Linked DNA regions of Arabidopsis thaliana. Each later gene encodes a partner of the first gene's protein in a complex. Each region holds a gene or a part of one and is shown on either strand. Other genes may lie near its edges. The genes, in order: NYE1 and NYC1.

What was found.
Region 2: NYE1 (region 1) and NYC1 share a complex: the UniProt entries of both Arabidopsis thaliana proteins name them as parts of the SGR1-CCE-LHCII complex.

Annotation. Positions count from the first base shown.
Region 1 is NC_003075.7:12,015,920-12,020,604, forward strand, and holds NYE1 (non-yellowing 1), read right to left. Parts: upstream 2,725-4,685; 5' UTR 2,688-2,724; intron 2,616-2,687; 5' UTR 2,051-2,615; coding exon 1,910-2,050; intron 1,793-1,909; coding exon 1,619-1,792; intron 1,425-1,618; coding exon 1,257-1,424; intron 1,181-1,256; coding exon 857-1,180; 3' UTR 544-856; downstream 1-543. Other genes in the region: PYR4 (pyrimidin 4), read left to right, coding at 3,396-3,425, 3,554-3,702, 3,895-4,076, 4,192-4,328, 4,398-4,563, 4,645-4,685. UniProt on the Arabidopsis thaliana protein: Magnesium chelatase involved in chlorophyll a degradation in the chlorophyll-protein complexes of photosystem I (PSI) and photosystem II (PSII). Contributes to the degradation of PSI and PSII in the thylakoid membranes.
Region 2 is NC_003075.7:7,683,665-7,688,773, reverse strand, and holds NYC1 (NAD(P)-binding Rossmann-fold superfamily protein), read left to right. Parts: upstream 1-1,767; 5' UTR 1,768-2,082; coding exon 2,083-2,373; intron 2,374-2,465; coding exon 2,466-2,544; intron 2,545-2,630; coding exon 2,631-2,766; intron 2,767-2,858; coding exon 2,859-2,933; intron 2,934-3,028; coding exon 3,029-3,224; intron 3,225-3,314; coding exon 3,315-3,383; intron 3,384-3,469; coding exon 3,470-3,609; intron 3,610-3,682; coding exon 3,683-3,805; intron 3,806-3,881; coding exon 3,882-4,074; intron 4,075-4,168; coding exon 4,169-4,357; 3' UTR 4,358-4,540; downstream 4,541-5,109. UniProt on the Arabidopsis thaliana protein: Involved in chlorophyll b degradation. Belongs to the chlorophyll catabolic enzymes (CCEs).

The DNA.
Region 1 (4,685 bases):
ATATAGTTTCTTTTGTATTTATTTACTTACGAACACAACATTTTATAAAATAAGCCCATGATAATAATGCAATAATTCGTTACCATTCTCTTATATTACTTGTTCTTCTTCTCTTTCTGTATTTGGTGTATTTGGTCGTAAATTAGATAGACGAATGGGGTCAGAGAAAAAAAGTCATCTTGATTTGGTTATAAAATGAAAAAGATATTGAAGAAAGAGACCAAATAAATCCAAGAAAATAATTTGGAATCATTAGGAGCAAGAAGTGGCTGATACGCTTTGCAAAACCACCAGAGAGACAAAGTCTTTTGCCATCTCTTTACCTTCACGTTTCTCCTTAGTTTCTCACCGTTACACCGACGAATTCGGTCCTTAATATACGTCTATTGTTACTTTGGTGATGATTCTCATGAATATCTTCATATTTCTAAACTATTCTTATTTGGGATATTAGTATAACTTTAAATTGGTGATGATTCTCATGAATGTTTTGATATATTAAAATATATATGTTCATTAAACAACAATTTATTCATCTTTATGTTTGCATTGCAGTAGTACTATACCAGTCTGTCACCTTTAATATTAGCTAATCTGTAAGAAATTTACATTTTGATCTTGTGGATGAGATACAATACAAGTATACAACTATGATAAAGACTTCAGAGTAGACACAAAATACCATTTGAAACTTTAAAATCTGTATTTAACCTACAAATAATCATTATTTTCCTATACCACATTATGTACACCAAACCAAACCAATATTTAGATCCACCAAAAGGAAAGTCCTGCCATTTCCTTTTCACTTTGTACAAACTACCAAAAGAAAAACTTGTAATTTGATATTTAGTCACTAGAGTTTCTCCGGATTTGGAGTAGCAATTCCCTCAGTCTGAGTCCCAGAGTAACCATTTACACCTTCATTACTAAGACTATGAGACCATGGAATCGAGCTAACGGTTGGAAAACAACAACTACACTCGTCCGCACACCGAGCCTCGGGAAGAGTCTCAGTCTTGTGACCATCAGGCGAAACAGCTTCCCAAAGCGGACCCCAACACTCGACTTTGTTGAACTCATTGACATTAGAATGGAAATAGACCCAAACAAGAGCTTCTTGTAGCTCAGGATAGTTGTTCAACAAGTTCCCATCTCCATGCACAAAAGCCTTCAACACCTGTATATATCAAAACAATAAACATTTTGTTTTACATGAAACCAATAAAAAGTTTCTTATGAATTTGGGAACTTACCACAGGTAGTTCTTTGCAAAAGATGAAATATCGAAACTTTGCAAAGAGATCTAAAAGGAAATGGCCACCGCTTATGTGACAATGAACGTGAAGCGACATTTTCCCTTTCACTTTCTTCCATTCTGCCACAACTTCATCCCGGTATAGCCTATTTGCCCATCCTTGCAACTATAAAAAACATTTCTATACATATCAGCCTCTAAAGTGTTAAGAGATTCTGGTGAATATAGACACATACATAGGTTAAAACAATCATACATAAGCCTCTAATATTTGCTCCAAATAATCAAATACATAAACATTCTACTCCTATAAACAGAGCCATGTAGATATGTTAAGACCAGAGAGAGAGGTGTTTTTACCTGAGAGTTGTTTATGGATTGAGAAATAGCTAAGGTTAGTTTAGCTGTAATGTCACTGTGAGTGAGTGTGTAAGTCCTAGGGAGCGTTGAAGGATGCTTCTTCTCATCAACCCCTAAGAAGAGTACTTTCAATTTGGATGATTCGAAAATCGCCGGTCCAAACAACCTTGCAACCTGCACCGATCCCAAAAGTTTCAAGTTCCATCAATAAAGACAGAGGCATAGATATATCCATAACTGAGACACATAAAACAAAGATATGTCAAAATGATTAAGAGAACAAATCCTTACGGGAACAATCGATTGGTTCTTCTTCTTGGATCTTCTATTGTTGAAGAAGAGTGAGCTGCTGCTGCTACTGTTACTCCGTTTGTCTGAATAAGCTGGTTTCAGCTTCGTTGGTAACAACATAATCGCCGACAAACTACACATCTCTGCTCTCTTGAAACCCAAATCAAAAGCTTCAATATTTCAGAAATAACAACAGAACAAAACGCCACTAAATACAGAGAGACTCCTTTCACGAAGCTTGGATACAATTTTTTCACGCGAGTTCTTGCGTGTTCGTACACTGAAACCACAATCAAAAAGATTGTAACTTTAAGAAATAAATATATAAAAGACCCAAAATTTGAGCTTTTCCTTTGCTTGATGATTGCTTGAAGCTTTGGTTTTGAATTTTCCTTTTGAGATCTTCCAGGAATTTAGGGTTCTTTGTGATGCGTATTGAGTTGGTTCTTGTGTTTAAAAGGGATTGTTGCTTCACGTTTCACACTTCCGTGCCCAAATCTGAACACTCTTTTGGAATTTTTCTGAACACGAGAGAGTGCCACGTGTTCTCTAATCTTTGCATGAGCTTCCCCATGTGTCGTCATGGTGGGGCTAACAACTGGCTCTAACCGTCTTTTTGGATAACTTTAGCCATCTCGTTGCGACAAAGAGACACAGATTCGGCTCTAACCGAACCTAACTCACGTACTGTAGTTGTCAGTCGAACCTAAAGCAATACGGTTTAGTTTCGGTTCAATTTAATGTCATTCGACTCGATTACTCGGTTTAGTTATTAGACCTGTGAAACTCGAGAGGCTTCTTCGCTTGAATCGTCGTGAACAAGGACAACAAACGCAGGTATTGATGGAACCGGAGGAGTCAGAGAGTCCCATGTTGATCCATAAGGATGTTAAAAAGGGCTGAAATTTGTGATCAGGTCCAGGTCCATTAAAAATATCGGGCTAAAATTGGGCTGGCCTGTTACAGAGCTTTTATTTTTTTCTTCTTCTTTTACGTTAAGCGACGTCGTATCTTGTAAACAACAAAACACGAGTACTGTTTTTTCTTCTTCTTTCTCCTTCAATCTCTTCCTCAAATCACTCTTTTTGGGGTTCGTTTTGTTTGTGTTGTAAGCATCCCTGTTGTGCATTTCGTTTATCCAGGTTCGTATTGCTTACCTAAACAAGTTCAAGTTTTCGATTTTGGTTTCTAGGTGTTTACCAGTTTCGCCATTTTGTGGTTTATTGTTTGGATAATTTGATTTCTTTGGATTTTGCTGATACCCATTTGTGTGTATAGAAATTTGATTAATCTGGATACTAAATTTCGTTTGGAGAAACATTGAACCAAAGGAATGCGAAATCTTTTGATGATGATTGAATAGTTTTAGTGCCTGCTAATACTTTAGAACAGAGTCAATTTTTTAAGGTCATGTTATAGAATCTGAGTCTACTTGTCATTTGCTTTGGAACAGGTGAATTCTTGCAAAGCCTTGAGCAGCTTTCAGATGATAAAGACTTTGGTCTCTCCTTATAGTGTATGTACTCTACCTCCACCACTCTTTGAGTCTTATTCTTGTTTAGTTCAATCCACGTGATCCAGTTTTAATTTTATTTAATTCCTCCTATGCGTCTGTTAAAGTCAACTATTTTATTCTTTATGTAGGGATTTGGATCTCAGAAGTTGAAGTTTGACAGATCTTCTGAGAAAGTGAAGACGAGAGCAGTAAGAATGGAGCTCACAATCACTCAACCTGATGATTGGCATCTTCATCTCCGTGACGGTGATCTTCTTCATGCTGTTGTTCCCCACAGGTCTTATAAACATCCTGCAATCTTTCTTTTCTTTCCTTGCTTTACTTTGTTTTGCAGCCACTTTTTTGTTTGCTATTGGTGTTTCTTGTGGAACCATTGTTTGTTATGTATGAATTCCTCAATCACAATCTTGTGCTGGCGTTGATGCTTGTGCTGTACATGATGGTTAATGGTGTATGTAATTATGTGCAGTGCGAGTAATTTTAAGAGAGCGATTGTGATGCCGAATCTGAAGCCTCCTGTCACCTCCACTGCAGCTGCCATTATTTACCGGAAATTTATCATGAAAGCTTTGCCATCTGAGAGTAGCTTTGATCCACTTATGACACTTTATTTGACTGACAAAACTCTACCTGAAGAGATCAGGCTTGCAAGTAAGTACCTGTGCTTTCTCCATCTTGTTGCAAACTAATCAGATACATTTTCATCTTTCTGATTGAGATTCTACTTGCTAATGTTCAGTTTATGCATATATGATCTTGTTATTAGGGGAAAGTGGTGTGGTTTATGCGGTGAAGCTGTACCCTGCCGGAGCAACAACCAACTCTCAAGATGGTGTCACGGATCTCTTTGGAAAATGCTTACCGGTACTAGAAGAGATGGTCAAACAAAACATGCCTTTGCTGGTAAATAAATCATACACCACATAGACTTGTATTTTTGTCTTTGTCTTGTCTGAGGAATGTTTTGATTAGGTTCATGGGGAGGTCACAGATCCGAGTATCGATGTCTTTGACCGCGAGAAAATCTTCATTGAGACAGTTCTGCAGCCTCTAATCCAACGCCTTCCGCAGCTGAAAGTAGTGATGGAACACATCACAACCATGGATGCTGTGAATTTTGTTGAATCTTGCAAAGAAGGTTTTGTTACTATCTTATTTTCATTTCTTGTCTTTTGGTTTTTGTTAATCTGCATAGCTCATAACATTTTGTTGATTATAGGGTCTGTGGGTGCAACAGTCACACCACAACATCTCCTTCTC
Region 2 (5,109 bases), 4.3 Mb from region 1:
GATGATCTAAATGGTGTGTGGAAAGAATGTATAGAGGTTTATGATTCTTATATGAAGGAGAATTGCACACTTAGAACTATATTGTTGTGGGCTATTAGTGATTATCTTGCCTTAGGAACACTGGTTAGATGTATGGTTAAAGGGAAATAGGAGTGTAACATATCTGGTAAGGACACACCAACATGCATGTTTTATTTTGCTTTAGTCAAATTTTGACAACACGACTACTGGAAGTGCACAGTTAATCGTCTGTAGTATAATGGGCTTTCTAAACCCATTCCAACTCTCATTTAGTATGATATTGTCCTCTTTGGGCTTATATGCTCAAGCCCGCAAGGATTTGTTATTGGGTTCCTTCCCAAAAGGTCTCATACTAGTTGGAGTTGGACTTGGCTTATATATTAGAAACTCTTTTTCTAAACTTTCGATGTGGGACCTTTGGTTTGTACCCAACAATCTCCCCTTCAAACCAAAGACCACGAACTTGGACCTCCTTCTTGAGGCACCTTCTTATCGTGTCATGTTTGAGAGATTTTCCCACATCGATCATAGCCCAAGCCCTAGGTCCAGTGTTTCAACCTGGCTCTGATACCATTTAATGGGCTTTCAAAGCCCATTCCAACTCTCATTTAGTATGATATTGTCCTCTTTGGGCTTATATGCTCAAGCCCACAAAGATTTGTTATTGGGTTCCTTCCCAAAAGGCCTCATACTAGTTGGAGTTGGACTTGGCTTATATATTAGAAACTCTTTTTCTAAACTTTCGATGTGGGACCTTTGGTTTGTATCCAACATAGTATTTATGGATCGAATTCCATTGGAAGAGAAGTAATTCAAACAAGTCTGTCAGAAGAGAGTAAAACTAGGACAAATCAATAAAAGAGGGGGAAAGGGTTGTTATTGTGTCACAGTTGTAAGTAAGTGAAGCAAGTAAATAGTAAGTGATCAATAAGAGACAAAAGTTGGACATTCAAGGGATCGTAGGGGTTCAATGATCTTCATGATCTAATCATGTTTATTTCCATGTTTTCGAGCATATAAAACACATAAAATTCAGCTACTGAGGAAAAATATATAAACGCATATATACATATGTACACGTCCACATACTTTCACGTTTAGGTTTTCGTTATTAGGGAAGTTGGACTTTTAATAGGTTTACTGATATTTGGGTCTCACGTAAAGCAGACCGGCTCTTTGGAGGTGCATGAGGCGCATTTGTTCTAGATCCAAATTTTTTTTGGTAAATTTAAGGATCTGATTAGTATGGAAAAGACCTACAATTTTTTTTTTTTTAGTATGAAAATGTCAATTTTAATGTGTTTTTAAAAAATTAGCATAAAAAGGGTCCAAATTTTTGTTTTATAGTTTAGAAAAAGATTAATTTTTAAAATTTGTACAGGGACTATAAATTTATTGAGTTGGTAGAGACAAAAAGCTTAAAGTTTACACAAAGGAGAAAATTATCATAAACACAAACATTATCAACTTTTCTTTGTTTGATATTAAATTTTTAATTTATAATTTTTTATTGTTCTAAAATAATATAAATAAGTAAGTGGTAGTTTGACAATAATCTCTATCATCTACTCAAATGTGACAATGGATACTACAATAATTTACTCAGGTACATAAGTAATGACGAAGTCTGAGTAAAATGTAATTTGAAATCAAATTTTGGCTTTCTAGAAGCAAAACTGAATCAAAATTTTGTTCATGTGAACCAAAATCTAAAGTAGCTCCCAAAGAGAGAAAAAAATATCTTGAAAACATGCGAAGGGACAAAAGAAACACAAAATGACACGTGTCAATGTTAGGCTAACGAGATGAGGTTGCTGTAACGTGTGGCCATCACACTTCTCTTCCTTCTTTCTTTCCCTCACCTCTTTCTTTCTTCGTCCTAATCTCCTTCTTCTTCCTCCGATCACTCTATTTAACGTCTTCGACGAATCCGAAGCTGAAAAATATCTAACAATCTATCTTTTGGGTCCCTAAAAAAGCTCCTTCGTTTATCTTGTTTTCTAAGTTATCTTTTTGTATGAGTTTCAAAGCTTATCATTATCTCACTCTTCTTCCATAGCTATGACTACTTTAACGAAGATTCAAGTGTACCCACAAGTCTTGGAGCACCGTCTCTTCTTCAGAGATCCGATACGGGTCGGGTCAAGATTGACTTGTAGAGAACGTAGTAATAGGGTTTATGTGCATCGGTGTGAGAAAAAAGTTGAAAGAAAGAGAAAAGTTGAGAAATTTAAGGGAAATGGGTCGTGGGATTCTTTGAAATCTGGGTTTTTAGGGTTTAGTAAATTAGGGTTCTTGTCTAAAGATGAGTATAATCAGAAAGTTGAAAACTTGGAGATGGTTTTCTCTTCGGTTAGTCTTAAAGTTTCCTCTTTTTTTCTTAATGAAATTTTCAATCTTTTTGCTTTGATTAGCTTAATTTTTATGTGTTTGTGATTTTGTAGGTTGCTGTTCAAATTGCGAGATACATTGTGACGATGACAAGTACTGGAGCTATTCTTTTGATTGGGTTTCAATTATCAGGTTAGTGCAAAAACTATTGTAGAAGAGTTTTTTTATTGGTAATTTTGTTTGACTGAGATTTTGAGTGTATGTATTTGTGATGAAAGGTGGAGATAGTTCGATGAACTCATTGGTTTGGTATAGTTGGCTTGGTGGAATTATCATTGGAACCATGACTGGTGCTAACATGGTTTTGGAAGATCATTATCGAGCCGGTCCACGGAATGTTGTTATAACCGGAAGGTACCTTCTTTACTTTTGTTTTTGCATTTTTTGATTTTTGTTTCTTTGTGTTTTGGTTTGATGCTGATGTATGTTTTTATGCTGTGTTTTAGCACTAGGGGACTAGGGAAAGCTCTTGCTAGAGAGTTTCTTCTCTCTGGAGACAGAGTCATTGTCACATCTCGCAGGTTGATAAATTGTATATATGGAATTATGGATTAGTTTTTATCAAGCAATGAAGTCTTAATATGATTTGTTTTTTGGTTTTTGTTTGTGAAATCAGTTCTGAATCTGTTGATATGACTGTCAAAGAGCTAGAGCAAAATCTCAAAGAGATTATGAGTAACGCTAGCGAGTCAGCTAGAAAGAAACTGAGTGATGCTAAGGTAGTTGGTATTGCCTGTGATGTTTGCAAACCCGAAGACGTTGAGAAGCTGTCGAATTTCGCTGTAAAAGAGCTTGGTTCCATCAACATATGGGTAAAGAAACATATTTCTTTTTGTACAGTTTGTAACTTTTTTTGTATCTTTAGTCATATGTTTGCTCACTGTCTATATTCATTTGGATAGATAAACAATGCTGGTACTAACAAAGGTTTTAGACCGCTACTCGAGTTCACGGAAGAAGATATCACACAGGTAAAATCCTTTTTGAACCTAAAGCTTAATTTCAGCTTGAGCTTATGGTGAAGTTCATTAGTCTAATTGTAACTATTATTTTGTAGATTGTCTCCACAAATTTGATTGGATCAATTCTATGTACACGAGGGGCTATGGATGTGATGAGCAGACAGCACAGTGGTGGACACATCTTTAACATGGATGGTGCTGGCTCTGGAGGTTCAAGTACTCCTCTCACTGCCGTGTAAGAACTCAAATCATTCGTTACTAGTCTCTAATGAATTAGAACACATTTCTGAGTCTGTGAGCTTTCGCAGATATGGTTCAACAAAATGTGGACTTAGGCAGTTTCATGGGTCTATAGTGAAAGAAAGCCAAAAAACAAACGTTGGCCTTCACACTGCATCCCCTGGCATGGTTCTGACAGAACTTCTTCTCAGGTATGCATACACTTTGTCACTAAGGCCTAGAACAGAATGCTCCGGAGTTTTATTGAAGCAACCATTTATTTGGCAGTGGTTCGAGCATTAAAAACAAGCAGATGTTTAACATAATCTGTGAGCTTCCTGAGACAGTAGCTAGAACTTTGGTACCACGAATGCGAGTTGTGAAAGGTTCGGGAAAAGCCGTCAATTACCTAACTCCTCCTCGGATATTGTTAGCTATTGTCACTTCCTGGCTAAGGAGAGGCCGATGGTTTGATGACCAAGTAAGTGTTACACTTGAGTTCTAGTTCAAGTTTTTTGACAAATCCTTCACTTGGTTAAGCCTGAGCTGACGCAAAGATGTGTACGTGTTTGCAGGGACGGGCGTTATATGCAGCAGAAGCAGATAGACTAAGGAACTGGGCAGAGAACAGGACGAGGTTGTCGTTAACAGACGCGATGGAGATGTATACAGAGAATACTTGGGTCTCTGTTTTCTCTCTTTCTGTTGTTTGCGCTTTCATCATCTTACAAAGCACAACACCTAGCTCTTTTCCAGGCACATAACAAACATCTTCCTCGGATGTGTTTTAAGAAAATTGTAAACGTACATGTTATGTATAAAAAACATATATATAACAGAACCGATTTGTTCATGTAAACACTTCTTATAGTTGTAGAATGTGTCGTTGTTGAAAACAATGAAAAAATAGATTGTAATAAACTTTTATCAGATTGTAGTATTTTCTAGTTTTCACTAGTTGGGCCTTTAAAGGCCCATTAAGCGGAGTTAAAAAAACACAGCTCCAATAACATTGCATCAATAAAAAAAGTGGAGGGCCATCAGATAGGAGCGAAAGACTGTGCTACTGAATAGTAATCATGGAGATCATTTGAACTATGCATTATTAATCATCACTTGACCCTTTTTTCCAAATAAACAAAAACAAACCAAAGATTGTTTGGCCTCATAGAGAAGATTAGATTTTATCAACAAGGATTAATTCAGACATATGCTTGTCTATTTTTTTGATTAAATCATTGGCCAAAAAAATCGATTAGAAGAAAGATTGAAAAACAAAAGTCAAAAAGTAGGACTCAGAATATGGGTGGTGATATAACAGAATGGTCGGCAAATAGGCTTTTTACGGCCGTTTTTACGACGAACGAGACCTTAAATATCAATCGTCACTGTCCGGAAGAAAAAAAAAAACAATTTTGTAATACGACAATAACAAAAGTAAGGGTTGGAGAAAGTATAAGGATTTGATTACGAGAGCAATTTGTAGCTTGAGAGATGATAAGCTTCTCTCTCTCTT